Drosophila melanogaster: one gene and its partners. The protein of the gene in region 3 interacts with the protein of the main gene of each other region in a pairwise test. Each region holds a gene or a part of one and is shown on either strand. Other genes may lie near its edges.

Region 1 (3,973 bases), on a different chromosome or scaffold from region 3:
GTGCAACGGGCAGCTCCCTACAACCTACTACTAACGCTCACCGTTCAGGTTTTCGCACAGAATGATTTCAAGGATTACATATAGGTATCATATTCCCAGTTTAGAAACCACTAATTTAAGCGCAAATTCGACTATTTTGTTAACTAAAAAGCCAAAAGCTACGCTGGTAATTTTGTTTATATAATTACTCTACGTTTAGATACTATTTTTATAGTTTTCTGTGGCTGAATTATATTCTTTTGGTTAGAAAACAGATTTATTTATGCATATCAATCAAGAGACAACATATTGTTAATGAACCTAAAAATTAGATCGTAAAACATAAAAGTTTAAATATAAAAGTAATGATAATATCTTAATTTGAATGAAGAAGTTACCCATTTAACCCATGTACACAAGTCAATTATTTCTGGAAAATGTACTGAAATGTGACCATTTATTGAAAATATCCATTGTTTTCCGGGTTGCAACATAAGTCTTTTAACACCAAAGGTTTTCTTAAAACATAAGACACAAATAATTTTGCTAATTTATTCAGTAAGAAGGAAACATGCGCCTGTAGGCCTGGCATATATCGCAGCTGTTGTGATGCTCATCCAAAGGAGAACTACAGCTGGACAAGTGGCTGCACTGCGTCAGCGAGGAACTCTGGCTAAGGCTACTTAATTGCGTTGTGCTGGAGCAGGAGGACAATCGCCGTTCCTGCTGTTTCTGTTGGGCAGGAGAGCCAGCTCTCCAAGCGGCGTAACTGCCACTTGGACAACAATTGGATTGCCTCCCATGACACACGGTTTGCTGCTTTCGAGGCTGATCCAAATGGCCCAGGCAACGGCTCTCAACGTGGCGATTGACAGGAGGAGCAGAGTACTCCCTGGAACTGGAGCAGCTGCACACCTTTTTCCGATCCTGCGTGGTCAACTGCGCAGATAGCTCCACCTTGGGCGCCAGGATACCCGGAAAAGCAGGCGTCGCCTTCATCAACAGCTGAACATTGGAGCTGTGGGCACAGCTCAGGCGCGGAAAAGTGGGTTGCATCACATCCGAAAGACTGCCCACGAAGTAGGCCAACCTTCGGCCATTCTGCCAGACGGTTATCTCCAGCTGTTCAGCTTTCAGTAGCTCGTGCATCTCCTCCAGGCAGCCCACGCTCTTGAAGTATCCCTCCATCGTGAACTGATCGTGGCACAGCATCGGAAAGCGAGGCTCCATGGGTCCAGTTCGAAAGTAGTAGCCCAAGGTCTTGATGGTGGCCTCCAAATATCCGTGTGAACAAAGCCAAACACCGGGACAAGTGAGCTGAAAATGGAAGGAGCCTTGATGTCACAGGTACACTTCAATCGACATAGCCACAAACCGCATGGAGCTGCAGATCTAACTTTACGTAGAATCTCTTGTGGGACATTTGCTGCCTGATCCTAAGTGAAAGTCTGCCGGAAAATAGCCAACTGCTTGGGGCGGGAATCGAGAATTGGGGGGCGAAAGCGCATGGTTCTTTGTTTTGGAGCCCACTGGTTGCCGGGGCAGCGGTTGAAAGTGAATTTCAAAGTCGATTACTGGTCGATAACGCAGGGAATTTTGATTGATAAGCAAAAGAGTTGAAAGTGATGTGTATAGAATGTATAGTGTAACTATACAATGTGAAGAGTACTTAAAGAATTGAATAGTTTTTGAATTAATTAAGAAATAATACAAAAATATGATAGTAAAATACTAAAAAAAATCTATTTTAGAATAATTAGCTAACTCACATTTTTCCATGTTTTCATTTTCTATAGCTTTAACTACTGATAATACGGCTTCCGTGGGAACAAAGTATTTCTCACAGTGATAGCAGCAACCGATAGGAAATCCCGACCACAATGTGCATCACTAGTCACAGCAATAGTAAACAGCGGGCACAGTCCACAAAGAAAACCATTGCCGCCGGTAGAGATGGCTGCAGTTTCGGATATTCCAGTGCACCTGCCCAAGCTGCTGGCTCTGTTCAAGACGGTGGTGCCCAAGCTGGTGAACAACAAGCACAAGGGACAGTACGGACGCATTGGAGTGATCGGTGGGTCCCTGGAGTACACCGGAGCGCCGTACTTCGCGGCCATTTCCTCGATAAGAGTGGGCGCTGACCTGGCGCATGTGTTCTGCCATTCAAATGCGTCGGCCATTATCAAGTCCTACAGTCCCGATCTTATCGTGCATCCAGTGCTAGACTGTGTGGATGCAGTGGAGAGAATAGCGCCCTGGTTAGAGCGACTTCACGTCGTTGTGAGTAGCCCCCCCCCCCCACCTACATACGTATATGCTACATTTATACAATTAAATGCTAAATTTAGAATCGTTAAGGTTATTGGACCTGGACTGGGTCGGGAGCCGGGCATCCTGAAGACGGCATCCAACGTACTCAAGCTGTGCATGGACACCAAGAAACCAGTTGTCATAGACGCCGATGGACTGTTTCTGCTCAACGACAATCTGAATCTGATCTGTGGACAGCCGAATGTCATACTCACGCCAAATGTCATGGAGTTCCAGAGACTGTTTGGCGAGGATGACCAGGCGGCGCGCCAGAAAATGTCCCTCCTGGGAGCCGGAGTAACTGTCCTGGAGAAGGGCGCCAACGACAAGATCTATCTCCCTCACTGCAACGAAGTTCACTCAATGCCTAGCGGCGGTTCCGGTCGCAGGTGCGGTGGACAAGGTGACCTGCTCTCCGGATCTTTGGCCACCTTCTTCTCGTGGTCACTGCAGTCGGGTGAACCCAATCCCGCCCTGGTAGCTGCATGTGCCTCTAGTTACTTTGTGAAAAAGTTAAACGCGGCTGCATTTCAAAAGTTTGGCCGCAGCCTACTGGCCAGTGACATGGTCAATCAAATACCCAGCGTATTTCAGACCGAGTTCGAAAACAGCGATCCTCAATAGTCATTTACTGGACTTTGAACTAATTCCAGCTGTTTGTTTTTTAAAACAAGGCGACCATTAACCGAATTTTCAATTATCGTGGGATTTTTAATGTCTTTAACAGAGAACATATTGGAATGGATAGAAATGTTATGGGAATTTTTTAATTGCATTTAAACAACGTAAGAACATCTGGTTCGTTAATTTGAAAGCTGCATCTTGTTACAGATAAAATGTTTCGGCATTCATAATAAAACCATATTGATTCAATTTTAATAAACCGTTTAAGCATGACTTCTGTTTTAATAAACAAATAAAATAAAATAAAAGTTTTTTTTAAATGTATGTAGGATAATAAATCATAAAAAAGAAAATAGATTTGATATAGATTATTTTAAAGGTATTGGCGGGAAAAAGCTAAGTCGTCGGTTCCGTTCGGTTGTTGGTGTTTTGCAGCACTGGTCTTCTCGCGAGCGGCATTTCCACGTCAGGTTTATTATTGTTTTTTTGGAATTTATCAAGCAGTGAAAATGCTCCTCAAAAGACTGCCTGGCTTTGTAACACTCTGGGTCGTCCTGCAGTTAGCCGGAGCTGATTCGCCCGAGGAGGAGCAAGGCGTTCGCTACGCAAACCGCTGCGAAGCCTGCAAAATCCTGGCCACCGAATTGGAAGCTCGACTTGGAGAGACCGGCAAGTCGCACGACGTCATCGAAATCGGATACTCCGTTGACGATGTGAAGCCCAAGAAGCGCACTGAATACCGGCGCAGCGAACTGCGACTGCTCGAGTCCCTGGAGAACGTGTGCGAGCGAGTGTTGGAGTACAATCTGCACAAGGAACGCTCTGACAGCACGAGATTCGCCAAAGGTATGTCCCAGACCTTCCAGACGCTCCATGGCCTTGTGGACAAGGGCGTCAAGGTGGATCTGGGAATACCCTACGAGCTGTGGGACAAGCCCCCGGTGGAGGTCACCCAAATGAAGACCCAGTGCGAAAACCTACTGGAGGAGTACGAGGAAACCATCAGCGAATGGTACTTTAAGCACCAGGATGAGAAGTCACTGAAGAAGCATCTCTGCGA
Region 2 (3,702 bases), on a different chromosome or scaffold from region 3:
TCCAAGCCACTAAGTACACCTACCTCCACTATCCACCCCCCCCTCCCCCCTCCCCAACGTACTTCATCATTCATTTGCAATTTCCATTAAAATGTCATTGAAATTTCACTTACAAAAATTTCCCTTCAAAAACCAAACCGAAGTGGAGCAAAAATAAAAATTGAGTAGACGAAAGAACGGAACTGAGTTTTGTATTGTGGTAGAGAATGAAATCTGGGTAAAAGCGGGAATTGGAGTTGGTTTGGGGAAAACTTTAGCTGGCAATTCTATTGCCAAACGCATTTTGCACTTCAATTGCACGTGCAAATGAAAATGGAAGGGGTGGGCTATTGGTGTGTTGGTGTGTTGCTGGAAAAGTCTGCGAAAAACTGAAAAATTCAAGCCTGTTAATATGCGTAAGTGTGTGGGGCAGGTGGGTGTTGGCTGTTGGATGTCGGATGTTGTGTGGTGGGTTGTGGGTGGTGGTTTGGCAAGTGGGTGGAATCTCCTGCGAGGAGTCCTGGCGTGAAGTTGTCGCTTTATTTTTCTTCTCGGGCTTCTGGTGCTGTCATTGATATGGCATTTTCCCCAACCACCCAAAAGTACCTCTGAGTACCTCCCAACCTCCATCCCATTTTTAGCCTCACCTTCTTTCGTTGTCGTTTTGTCGTCGCCTGTTGTTAATTGTCATTGCGTCGCTTTAAGCCGCTCAGTGGCAGGAAAATGGGAAATGGAAGCCTCACCTTGCGTGTGGGGTGGGGAAAATCGAGAGGTGGTGCCGGATAAAGTGAATCAAGAGGAAGGCCAAGGAGCAGGAAAGACTATCGGACATACTCTTGCCTTGCCGAATGTCACTGCAAATCGTTGAGCAAATTGACAGCTTTTAAGTTGACAAACAAATTATTAAGTATGATCATATTCAATATATTTATTTTCTATACGTTAGTATATATATGATATTACCAGTTCTATTTGAATGCACATCACTATAATACTATCTACTAATATTAGCTTTGAAACTAGTTTAGCCTGCGCATTATAATTCGTGTGGATAGTCCGGTTTAAAGATGATTTTAGGAGCATATGCTTCCCTTCGGTGTGGATGGATAGTTTCTCCCTTAGCCGTTGTTGTTATTGCCACTGTTGCTGTTTTCACGCGCGGTTAGCGCCTGTAATTGCATTGCCAAGTAAAGGACGAACCGCGAACAGTGAGCGACATTCGTATGTGTCTCTACGTTCGTGTGGCGCTCCATGTGTGCGCTGCACTGGCAGAAAACAATTGGTGGTTCTTAAAAGCGGAATTTGGGACATACTATCATCATATATCGCTACAATTACAAAAATATATGCTTAACATGGCTGCCCCTTTCTTTGTTTTTTCTTAGTTTAAGAGCAATCCTTTGTGTTTTTGGCCAGTGTAGTTTTGGTGCGTGTGTGTGAGCGTTGGCGTAAGTGAAATTTATTTCAACAGCCCCCGCCAGGCATTCAGCCCCAAAACTGTCGGTTGGCCAACTTAGGCGAAAAATTGAGAAGCAAGGCACCACCAGCAAGGCAGCATCGCATCAACGGCAAATGAAATGAGGCTGGCAAAAAGGGGGATTCCGGGGGTTAAATGCGCCCCAATAGGGGGCGCCATCTGCGGCACACTGGCGCCAAAGTGATGGAAACCATTCCGAATGCACAATCTCACAGCGGTTGATCCAAAAAAAAAAAAAAAAAGGAGTGAATGAAAATATGCAATTCTCAGAGAGAGAGAGAAAGCGTTAAGTGGGTGCATAAAGGGGCAACAGCGGTTTATGGGTTCAACTTTGTATCGTGCAGAGTATTTGCTCGGCTATAGAGCAGTATTCCGTTGCTAATAGAACCCTTAAAAGGTACAAAAACCAATATACGATTTGGATTTCAAATTCCCATTTATATTATTACCCACTGTGCCCGAAAAAACCCCCAACTGAAGCTGCAAGCAGACGTGTTTCTGTTGCTGATTTTAAATTTTAATTAAAGTGTGGCTCCTTGGTTTTTGGTTTTGGTTTTTGGCTTTGGTTTTGCTTTTCGGTTTCGGCTGCGACCACTTGAGGTTCACGATCCGCGGCAAAGCAAACAATGGCCTACAAGTAGGGGCACTTCTTGACACGCTCTTGCCACTTGAAAAGTCCAACTATTTGGCCTCGGGGCCAGCAAAAATGGTGCGAGAAGAATGAAGAAAGGCTTTCTAAAACCTATAACCTATATATATTGGCAAGCAAAATTCCGGGCATCATGGCATCCATGACCGATGAAAGTCGATTTCCGTCAACTCATGTTGGGCTATAAAAGTGCCAAAGATCTGCCCAATGGCACACACAGTTCGATGGTCCATCGTCCAGAAATGATCTACGCAATTCTAGTGCTCTGTCTGCTGGGCAGTTGTTGCCCAGCAATGGCCCAGAAGGTCGAAAAGGATCCGCTGGCCAAGGAACAAAATACCCGTTTGGCCGGCATCTATGTGAAGGATGGCAACGAAAATGGCCAGCTGAGATTCCTGGCATCGGGCTTGAACAGTGGCAGCAGCAGCACCAGCTCTTCAAACACCGGTATCAACTCGGCCCTGAATCAGTACATAACCAATAAGCAGGATATGCTGGAGCAACTGCGTCCCACTTCGGGCACCACATCAACGGGAACGGGAGCTGTTACGGGCACATCGACGGGAACAACAGGAACGACTTCGGGAACCGGAACTGGCCTGGTCACCACGACTTCCAATGGAGCTATCTATGTGAACCTGGGCAGTTCGGGATCCTCATCATCATCGTCTTCCTCCTCGTCGGCCACCAATGCGGCCATTAATCAGGTCATCTATGGATCCTCGCCAGTTGCCGGTCTCTTGCCGCAGATCGTTGGCCAGGCGGTGTCCAGTCGAGTGCGTCCCGGTGGCCAGAACAATAGGAGGCGCGTTCCCGCCCGTAGGCGCCGGGTCAACAAGAGGCGTGGCAGCATTAACAACAACAATCAGCGACGTCGCCGGCGTGGCAACAAGCGGGGCAAGAATAAGGCCCAGGTGATGGTGGTGCGACCAAATCGCGGTTGAGAAGAGGATCCACCGCCTTTCTTAGTTAAGCGAAAAATTACTTTTTTTTTGCCCCCCAGCCAAGGAATTTTTTTTTTTTTAATGATTACTATTAGTATGCGAGAAGGCAACCTTATTTATTTATTTAAATGATTGAAAGCAATTACACTCTGCAACCAAGGTGGTTTTATTCGAGGTCATTATGGCAAAGGCGTGAAATGGATAATTAAATTTTAGCTTTGGTATAACATGCATATTTCATGGACATCATTGCTCTCACCTTGTGTATGTTTTCCAATCGACCAAATTTGCGATTGCAAAGCCTCAAATTTGTGTAGGCCAGTGGATTTGGCGTAGTTGCACTAATTTATGGGCCAACTGGTGTTCATGTTCAAAGGGCCGCCAGTCGGTGTGTCTGCGAGGTGCGCTGGCCCGTTTAGAACCCCCTTGGTGAGCCCCTGGTCAAGTGCAAGACAAACGGTCTCCGGTCGGCTCTGCATGCGGCGGTCAATGTCTTGATAAATGTCTGCAGGATGGCGCCCGGGGAGTGGCGCCCGTTGCTCCTCGTCCTGGTCAGCAGGACGACCCCTCGTGCGGCGCCGCTGTTCCATTTCGCGAACCTCTAAATCACCGTCACGTGTCCGGGCTGTGTATTATGTGCTCATGACTGTAAT
Region 3 (9,796 bases):
GTCAGCAGGCGTTTGGTGAAGTGCACCAGCTGGCTTCCAGGTGAGGGAGTGGATGTCTGTCGCGGTGTATTGCTCTTGCTGCTGGATGCGTTGAGCAGGCGTTTCAGCGGTTTATTCAACAGAACATCCTTCATGGCACTCAGATTAAGGGCAATGCGACTGGAGTTGTGTGTGTCACTCAGTGTCTCATTGAGATCCGCGTCCAGTGGCTCCCAATCCACCTCAACACTCTGGAAAATGGTTGTAGCGTTCAGCTTTTCCTGCTGTTCAGCATTATCCCTGACCAAATCCAACCACACACCCAGTCTAGCTGTGGGCCACTCGGCCTTCAATCCCCGCTGCTTATCCAGAATCAAGATAACAGTGCGCAGGAGACCAAATTCATCTGGCGTCTGAGTTTGCCGGAACTCCAATGGCAGGTCCAACTGGCGACAACGCTGGGTGGCCTCTTTGACCATCAACTGGGTCTTGTGAAGACTCTCCTCCGAGGGATTCAGCATGATGCGTTGAATGTCCTCCAGTATAGTCGACTTCTGTGCTGGAGTTGATACTGCATCTTCATGCCTTAGCGGAGTGTGTTCCTGTTGTTGGGCCAAGGCCAAGGCCTGGCGTTCCGTCTCCAGCATCTCGCTGTTGCATTTGTACTTGAACTGCTCTAGTTCGAGGCACTGCAGACGCTCCTCAAAGTCCCGGGCATGCTGCGCCCGCTCCTGTTCAATCTTCGTGAGAGCGGCTCGCTTTTCCGCCTCCAATTCGGAGCGAAGTTGCTGCTCCTGCTTTTGCAAAATCTCCTGATGGGCCAGCTGGAAATCTACCGGATGATCGGCCTTGCCTCTTTGCGAGCAGAAGGGATTGGAAATGCGAAAGTAGTGGGAGCCACCTATGACGAGACGGTCGCCATGAAACAGCTGGCGACGATCCTTCAGTAGTTCTCCGTTCACGTAGGTCTCGAAGTCCTCGCTGCCGGGGATGACATACAACTTGCCACCACGTTCATGCTCGATGCTGCAGTGCTGCAAGGCCACCAGTGGACCATCCAGTACAATATCAGGCTGCGAACTAGAACTCCCTCCTGGCAGACGACCTCGTCCTATCCGCACTAGTCCTTGGGGCAACAGATAGAACAGGGTGCCACTTAGTATGGGATCCGCTGTTAAATTAACCAGACAGGCCTGCTTCTGCTCAGCAGTTAGTTCCAGAGCCAATCCCCGGCGTTTCAGGACACGAAGTTCCGATTTGCGCTGATCCTCCGCCTCCTTGAGCTTCTCCATCCATGACTTTTGCGCTCGACTCAGCTCCCTTTCCCGTTCTGCCAGCTGCTGACGCAGTGCCTCCACCTCGGTCTCGTCCACGGAGGTTTCAATGATGATCTTACGTGGCACGGGATTGTTACTATTGCCGGACAAGCGCCGCTGGCGCTCGTACTCGTTCCTCAGCGACTTCAGGCGATCCACCTCGGCGCGCAGATCCCGTATGATCTTGTCGTGGGGGGATTCGTTTACCTTCACCCGGTTGACGATGGAACGCGCCTTGCAGGCGTAACGCAAAGTGGCTAGGGTCTCATCCGCATGGATGCTGGCCGGTGAAATGGTGGCCAACATGACCGTCTTCGAGTTCCCGCCGAGGTTTTCCTGGAATGAAGGAACAACGTCAGTTATATTAAAAGCTCTGTGATGCATCTTTGGATTGGGTGAGTAATTGTATTGTTTTGATGTTAATATCTGGGGTAAATCAAGTTATTTATTATTGGCAGGGTCAATATGGCAAATGGCTGTGGTATACAACGTGTAGCTTGGCTTTCTCACATTCATAACAATATTTTTTAACACCTTTTAAAATGAAATAAATCACAAACAAGGGCATGTGAATCAGTAACAGTAGTATAAACCTAAATATAATTTTTATATGCATTTTATTTTATTTTAATCTAGCACGTAAAACCGAAACAACATTTCATTGATGAATAAATCAGGCATTTTGAATGCACTACTTTTAGTAGCTTATAGAGTCGGCTGAATATCTTTTAAGGAACAACATAAACCGATATATATAATCCTAATGGTTCCTGTATGGAATTGTTATTGGAAATGGTCCATTTAATCTCAATGTGATAATAATGATTTAATGGACTGAAGAAAATAAAACAGAAATCCCAATAAACATATTTTCCAATCAATTAAAGAACTGGATGGGCACCCAAGTTGATAAGGAAAGTGGTTTTTCACACCAACCCTATATGCATACATATGTGGCAAAAAGGAATATACCCCACTATGCAAGAGGTACGATGATTATCGATCATCGGTGAACACTATAATGCACTCGAAAGCACTCAGAACAGATGTGTGAAAATTTCAAGGAATGGAAAATTGACAATCTAAACCTTCGAGTGTGTGCTTCGATTGTGGACTCGGTGCGATAAGGAGGGACGAAATGATAAGACAACGCCCAACTGTTTGCGTAAAGCTACCGTGACAAAGGCACCTACTGATGGTCGTTATCAGCAACCGCTGTGCGGGAATCGAAAAGTTGTTGTGCAAACAAAATGCATCCACATGCAAGTACACGGAAGAAATAGGCTCAGAAATAAAACTCACTAATTGGTGCATCGCAGTGCTTTCAAAATGTTGGTTACATATTCGTTTAGTAAGATATTTGTTTACCTAATTACAAATGCATTGGCCATCCGTTGCATTTTTATCTGATAGTTTTTTTTTTTTTGTAGTGTAGTGTATGCATACGTATGTATATATGTATGTATTCAAATAAAGCTTCGTATTAGCTAGTTAGCACACATTCTTGGCAGTGTGCGTAAGTGACACTTGTTTGATTAAGCAGGTCAGCACCGTGGGCCAAACAAGAGCGGGCACCGAAAAGAGGATGGTTGATTACACAAACTGCGCAGCAGCAGCGGCGTAGGCGTGCACAGTGGTCGCAAGTGCAGAAATATGCCTTGAAAAACAGCTACCATAGGTGACCTTAGGGGCCCGTCAGTGTCGTCTGGTCAGAATCTGGGTCCGTGGTCCGTTAACCGCAAATTAATACAATTAATGGCGACACTCTCTGTTAGTCATTCACGTACCAAAGCGTACCACATTAAAAAAAATCTTTTTTCCTAAATATAGCCCTCTACGTCCTCCCACCTTTAGAAATCAGTCACGATCTCCTCAAAAGTAACTGAAATGAGCGTGCACCAAAACATAAACCGCAGGAAGGCGCTAATATAGGCGGTATGCTTTTTGAGCCAAAACAGCAAAACCTTGATCGGAACCGGCTAAAATGACGTAGACTGCCAATTAACACTAGATTTAAACAAATTTTTCAAATGTTCAAAAACCTCTAGGCAAAGTAGTGAAAAAGTGCAGCTGGTGGTTTACACGCCTAGAATGCCACACGCTGGAAATACAGTCCATTTTGACCATGGAAAGTTTATAAAAAAAAAGAACACTCCAATTTGGGCTCTCAAAAGTGTTCAATCCGCTTGGCAACCAAATTTGGTTTCAGAAATAAGGCTAAATCACGGCATGGTCGGCCTGCAGTCTAGACCGTGATTAGCGCAGCTTATAAAAACACAAATGTCCATCCCATCCTCCAGATGATCAGCCGTCGAACATCCGTCCGATCACTCTCATGATTACTTTTTCGTCATCTCCGCGGCATTAGCGATTCGCCGCTAATAAGAAAAACTTCCAAGAGTATTCCTCATGCCCCGGCTAATTAATATTTATTAAAAATTTTCAAACTAACACAGGGTGAATCACTTGGAAAATGCTTGCTTCCACGGCAGAGGTGATTTCGAGAGTAGCGAACCAATGTGCCCCAAGCGAGAGGTGTGTGGCACTCGAAAGGGGAGGGGTCGGGTGGAAGGTGAAACTCTGACAAAAGCACGAGACGCGAAAACACAACAAAACACAATGCCACACATACGTGTTTACAACCAGGCACACAAATATTTTAGTACAAGTGCGGGCAGCATAGTATATACACCTATTCCAAGTACTACAGACATTAAAGAATATTTAAAACAAATTAAAGTCCATTCATTCATATACACGTGCCCTAAACGTTTTCCCGCGACTGTCCACACACATTCACACGTAGGCACATGAGAAGTAAATATAGGGGAGACCCGAAGTGGGCAGCAAAACAAGAGCCGAAGTATCGCCAGCGCACGAGAGCTACAAAAATGCAGTAATTCTAGTGTTCGGCTTTCAGTTTCACGAGAGACCTCCAACAGAATACATCGAATTTCGGCGAGAGATTTGCAGCTCAAGAAGAAGAAAGAAGGAAAACCTCTGCGAGTCACCTCCACGCAAAAGTGCACCAAAAAGCGTTGTTAAAAAAACAAAACAAAGTGATTTTAAAAGCCAGGTTCATTGGACGCCCGAGCCAATCGAGAGACAAAGTGAAACGACCTCGCACAACGCGCGCAAAAAGAGAGAAAGAAAGAAAAACACACACCCACATTACAAACACAATTCACATCCCGTTGATTGGCACTGCAGTTCGCAAAAATAGTAACGAAACACCGCACAGCACAGACATGGATGTTTGGGGATTCTGCGTCAGCGACACCACAATGGCATATGGCGGGTCCATGCGCAGCGGCTACTACCGCGACTACGAGGAGTTCCCCTATGGTACCCTGGAGTCCACCACTTCCTCACACGCGGTCAAGGACTGCTACAGTCGAGTGCAAGGTAATTTTTGGCGAAAAAACAGATAGCGCTCAGAATGCACTGGCAAAAAAGGGGCGAGATTGAAAGCAGACGCGTTTCTCACTTGTTTTTGTGTATTGCGTGTGTTGTTTTGTTGTTTTTGCAACCATTTATAAATAGCCAGCCTGATTTCTTAGCCCCATGTGCATAAGTGTGTGTGTGCGTGTGTGTGTGTGTAGAACACGCCTTAATTTTTGCGCACAAGCACAGGGTGTCCAAAGTTTCGCGGCGCAAGTCACCTTATCAAGTAGGTTCCACACCCCCTCGATTTTGTTTTTATTTACGGCTTGAATCCACGTGCTAAAGATATTCGCGCTTAATTGCACACACAAAGCGGCTAAAAGCCCACAAGGTTCCTTACGAATTTCCGGCATTCCAAAGTTAAAGCGCAATTCAGATGGGCATACAAAAAGAGTATATCGTTACTTTGTCACTCGTGGAAAATCATAAAAGGCAAAGATATACTTTTTGTGGCAATTTCAGAGGTGGTTAAACCCGCTCTTATCGAGGTCACTACTCAAGTCCATTAAGACACACTCTGCACTCGAATACTTTACGATTATTAATTACACAGACAACTAAGCAAGCACTAAGACTTGGCTGTACCTCCAGAATCGGCTCTCAAAAGTTAAGCAGGTGGTCGCACAATGGATTCTTTTATAGGGAAGAACAAACAAAGCAGGGTTTCATTGTGTTTGAGTGCCAAAACTGAAGCGCAATAACGAAACTGAGGTGTGTAAATGTTAAACCTTCGTGCTGTTTTCGTCCATATAGTATACATATACGCGTAGTGCATTATCGGGTTGCAGAGAAATAAAAAAAAAACAAGTGAAAAATTATGCAAGGCAAATATCTAGCTTACTTTAAACTTTAGATTCACATGTCTGTACATACACAACTCAATTCGTATTTGAATGGTAGCATGCATATGTGTGTAAATATCCAGTTTATAAAGCACTTTTTTCCCCCAGTGTGGAACACATTTAGAGATTATGCAAGGTCGCTTATCGGCGGCTATAAATAGACTTTCCTCATGGATCGGCTGGGCTTTAATCAATAATAACCGTTTAGCTTTTAACACGGTCAATTGAGCAATCAAAGCAATGGTTTAATTAACGGAGGCAGGTCACAAAAGCACACAAGCTGTAAGTACAGTTGTGCTCAATGTAGTAGTTGTGTTACAGTCGTCGAAAGACAACAATGTTTTCATTAAAACCAAAGATTAGATAGATTCAACTTTTTAAAATAGGTTTCTAAAATCCAGTGCATGATAATATTAAATATATAGCTGCCTCCGTCACAGGGTCACACGTCGAGTAGCGGGAAAAATTGTGCGAGCGTGGGGAGGGGCGCCATCGGTGGCGACGTGACGTCGTGAACGTAGACGCAGCGACGTCACGTAGTCAAATCAGCTGTTCGACGGCCCAGAAGGGCACGTAGGCTAAAAGGCAGAGTGGAAGCGAATGCGGGAAACAACAGACGAGGGTGAACATTCAGTGCCGACCTTCACTAACCGGTGACCTATCACATTGCTCCCATTGCAGAAAAGTGCAAGCAGATAAAGTCCGAGAAGCAGATGCGCAAGGACTGCCCATTCTGCAAGGAGCACAAGAAGCGGCCGCTCATCAACTACATGCGCAAGCGGGAGCAAAGGAAGCACCATGACAGCATCTGCGAGGACGAGGAGGACATGCACGAGCACGAGCATGAGCTGGAGCACACCCACAATCACAGCCAGTCGACCGTCCTTGCCGCCCCGCAAAGCTGCAAGGTGTGAGTGGGAGCGAGACGAATCTACTGCGGACGGTGCCCGCAGCATTCGCGAAATGCCATATATGTATACAGATGTGTAACCTAACCCAGAAGAAAGGAAACCTGAAAGAGTAAGAACAAAAACAAAAACAAAGAAAACCCGAGGAGAAAAGAGAAAAAGCTGTCGAAGACGAAGATTGCGCGAGAGAGCGAGACAGCAGCCTGCAGCTACAATAATCTAAGGCAACTGTACCCCTATTTTTTTTAAAATGGTTGCCCAGCATTTCCGCGTTGCGAATACACTACCATTTACAAAAGCCAGAACCACTTGATACCAATTTACAACTACCTTTTTCATTATCTAGCCCTTCGTTTTTACACCAACTTCGCAGTTATGTACAACTACAAACGGCACTTTGTTTACCGACAAACAATAGCGCACGACGAAAAAATCAAGTAACGAAAACCTGCCCCGCTTGACCAACGCATTTTTTGACCTTAGGCAAAAAAAAAAAAAAAAAATTATATATGTAACACAAGGGAAGCAAAAACTGAATTTTCTATTTTGCATACGAGACTGAGTAAATTGCAGTAGAAAATTTTTAAGCGAAATTTTTGTTATTTTCGTTGCTTTAGTTTGGACCCAATTGGATCAGTTACAGGTATTACCATATAAGAAAGAAATAATGAAAACTATAACGATCAATCAAGGTTTTGCAACTGTTATTTTCTCGATATATGCGTAGTACATACTTTGGACCCCGATTTTTATTGTATCCTTGTCTATATTAGACATTCCCCTATATTTATTGTAATACCAACTGAGCGTTGCACAGTCCGAGCAAGTGTCAAAATGAAATCAAATCGAAATATGTATGTAAAAGTTGAAATTGTTCAAAAGTTTATGCCTGGTTACATTTTGTTAACTCAACTTGTCGTTACAGAACAGAAATTGTTATTAATTTTTGGTGTTCAGACTCAGCTGTGCAAAAAGACGGACGGAAATATTATAAAAACGATTTAACAATTGCATTAGTCATTTAAGTAATTGATCAAAATGTAATGATTTGTGTAAAATTTGCTTGCAGGTTCCAAGAAAATTTTCAATTTATACAATGTTATATATCATATATATTATATATTAATGGTTAGTTTAAATTATATGTAAACCGAATAAAACGACAAATGATTGAAAAATTTAAGTTAAAATGCGTACTTGTATCTTGAGGGTTACTTGAGGAAATTACGATTAAAAGAAAGGAGATATCATTCATAGTTGCTACGATTTCTAAAAGTTAGACACCTGTTCCAATTACATACGTTGAGGTGGGTCAGTTTGGACTTAAATTTTCCAAATAAAAGTCTTAATTTCTTATGCAAATCTTTACGGAAATCTTTCCGTCTCGCACCAGTTTACTAATTGAAGTTAATCTGTCTTTTGTCTGTCTGAACTCAAAATGTTCCGCCGCTTGAAAACGTTAAATATGATAAGTAAGTACTTGATGGCTAAGGTCAGGTTTTAGGCACTAAACTGGGAACTAAGCGAAAGCACCTCGAGCCCCAATAAACCGACCTGGAACTTGACCATGCACTATCCCACCTTGCAAGCGAATGTCCAGGGATGCCAGCTCCCAAGTGATCCAAATGAAACCCCAGTCAACTAAGCCGAATTGAATTAGAGCAACGAACGTTTGGCACGGGTAGATGAGATCATCCGTGCCTTAATCATGAAAGGCGAATCAAAAAAATTCAACTGATCAAACTGAGAACTGAGCGCATCCCCCCACACGAAAACCATTCATTCCATTTGCATATTTTTTCATGAGTGTGCAAAAGGGTATATGTGCAATGGGGCGACGGGGAAAGCGATGTTCGAGAGAAACAACTCGCGGGGAGGAAGCCATATACATATTCAGTTGTTTGTGCATCGAATTCGACTCATTTTATATTCCAATGCTAACCACTTGGTTGGGGCTAAATATATTATTAAACAGTGTGGCTTAAATTACAATTGTTGTTATGCGGGAAACTGGAACGGAGAGCACACGTTCGAAGCATTTTGTTATGCCAACGTGGGTCAGAGATACAAACTTTTGAATTTATAACTACTATACTATACTATACTATTTATAACTACTACTATTTACATTATTGAATGGCTCAGTTAGTCGAAATCTTGTGAATAATTAATCTGGTTACTACTCGTATGTCAAATTTTTTCAGTTCACATAATTAGCATTCATTTGTGAACTGAAAACGTGGCTTATTTGAAAATTCATAACGGCGACAGACAACTCGCCTGTTGCTAATTACGAAAATAATTAACTGACGTATCCTCAGTGGCACGCTTTTCGTATTAGACACGTATTAGAAACAGCAGATCAATCGAATTTGAAATCGTGTGAACCTACGTCATTTGCATTCAATTCGATGTTTCTGGATTTCATTCAAAATCCCACATTCCCTGGCTATCTAAACGGTGTTTGTGGCTTTCCAAATCCAACTCGGAAAATGCTGATTGTGAACTCAGTGCGGTTTCTAGGGCTTTGCACACGAGCAAGTTAATTTGGAATTTATTTAGAAAGCTGGCTTGGGACTCCGCATTTCCAGTTCCAAAGTTCCCCCAGTCATGTGAAGGTCGCAACGAGTTCTCAAAACTAATAAAAATTGAGAAAAAACTATAGTTTAATGAATAAAAAAGGACTTATTTCTTGGAGAACAGAATATATCCCTTTGCATTTCAAAAAATGCTGAACCGCTTGTTACAAAAACTGAAAAGTTCCAGAGGAGTCAAGTCGCAAGGTGAACTTAATAGCTAGGCCATGGTATTTAAAGTGAAATACTTACATCAAAATATGTCAACTATTCTAATTACCTATCAAAAATTGAATTATTCTTTTACAAAACCTAGCCGTAGTGCAAAACCATTTTCATATAAGTGGACTGTTATTAAGCCAGTTAAATAACAGTATTAACAGTATTCTTTTTTTGTTTCGAATAATGAGCTTTTTGGATAATGAACTTAAATATGACTTTAAATTGACGAGTCTGTGCTAATAAACAAAACGGACTGCAAATGTCAAATCACAACTAATGTTAAAAATTAAAGTTATAAAACACCAACCAATTTTGATTATAAAGCATCTCCCATTACTTACATTGTACCCAAATCCTGGTTAACTTTAGATTTTACTTGGCCTAAACATATTTGCTAATTGTAACATACTCTGCCATCAATTACCTTTATTGGCTTGTATACACTTCGTAAACGTTTAGTTACCATCCTAACTATCTGTATATAAATTATTCATTTTGTGTACAAATTG

Evidence for each region.
Region 1: the proteins of fok (region 3) and CG14079 interact in a two-hybrid assay, tested with the Drosophila melanogaster proteins (one large-scale study listed by BioGRID).
Region 2: the proteins of fok (region 3) and CG4116 interact in a two-hybrid assay, tested with the Drosophila melanogaster proteins (one large-scale study listed by BioGRID).

Annotation. Positions count from the first base shown.
Region 1 is NT_037436.4:19,095,592-19,099,564, reverse strand, and holds CG14079 (uncharacterized protein), read right to left. Parts: upstream 1,567-3,973; 5' UTR 1,403-1,566; coding exon 1,355-1,402; intron 1,297-1,354; coding exon 535-1,296; 3' UTR 501-534; downstream 1-500. Other genes in the region: Gem2 (gemin 2), read left to right, coding at 1-84; Naxd (NAD(P)HX dehydratase), read left to right, coding at 1,933-2,259, 2,338-2,913; CNPYb (canopy b), read left to right, coding at 3,423-3,973.
Region 2 is NC_004354.4:3,066,115-3,069,816, reverse strand, and holds CG4116 (uncharacterized protein), read left to right. Parts: upstream 1-2,254; coding exon 2,255-3,049; 3' UTR 3,050-3,202; downstream 3,203-3,702.
Region 3 is NT_033779.5:20,079,482-20,089,277, reverse strand, and holds fok (fledgling of Klp38B), read left to right. Parts: upstream 1-4,207; 5' UTR 4,208-4,543; coding exon 4,544-4,700; intron 4,701-6,262; coding exon 6,263-6,495; 3' UTR 6,496-7,672; downstream 7,673-9,796. Other genes in the region: neb (nebbish), read right to left, coding at 1-1,631.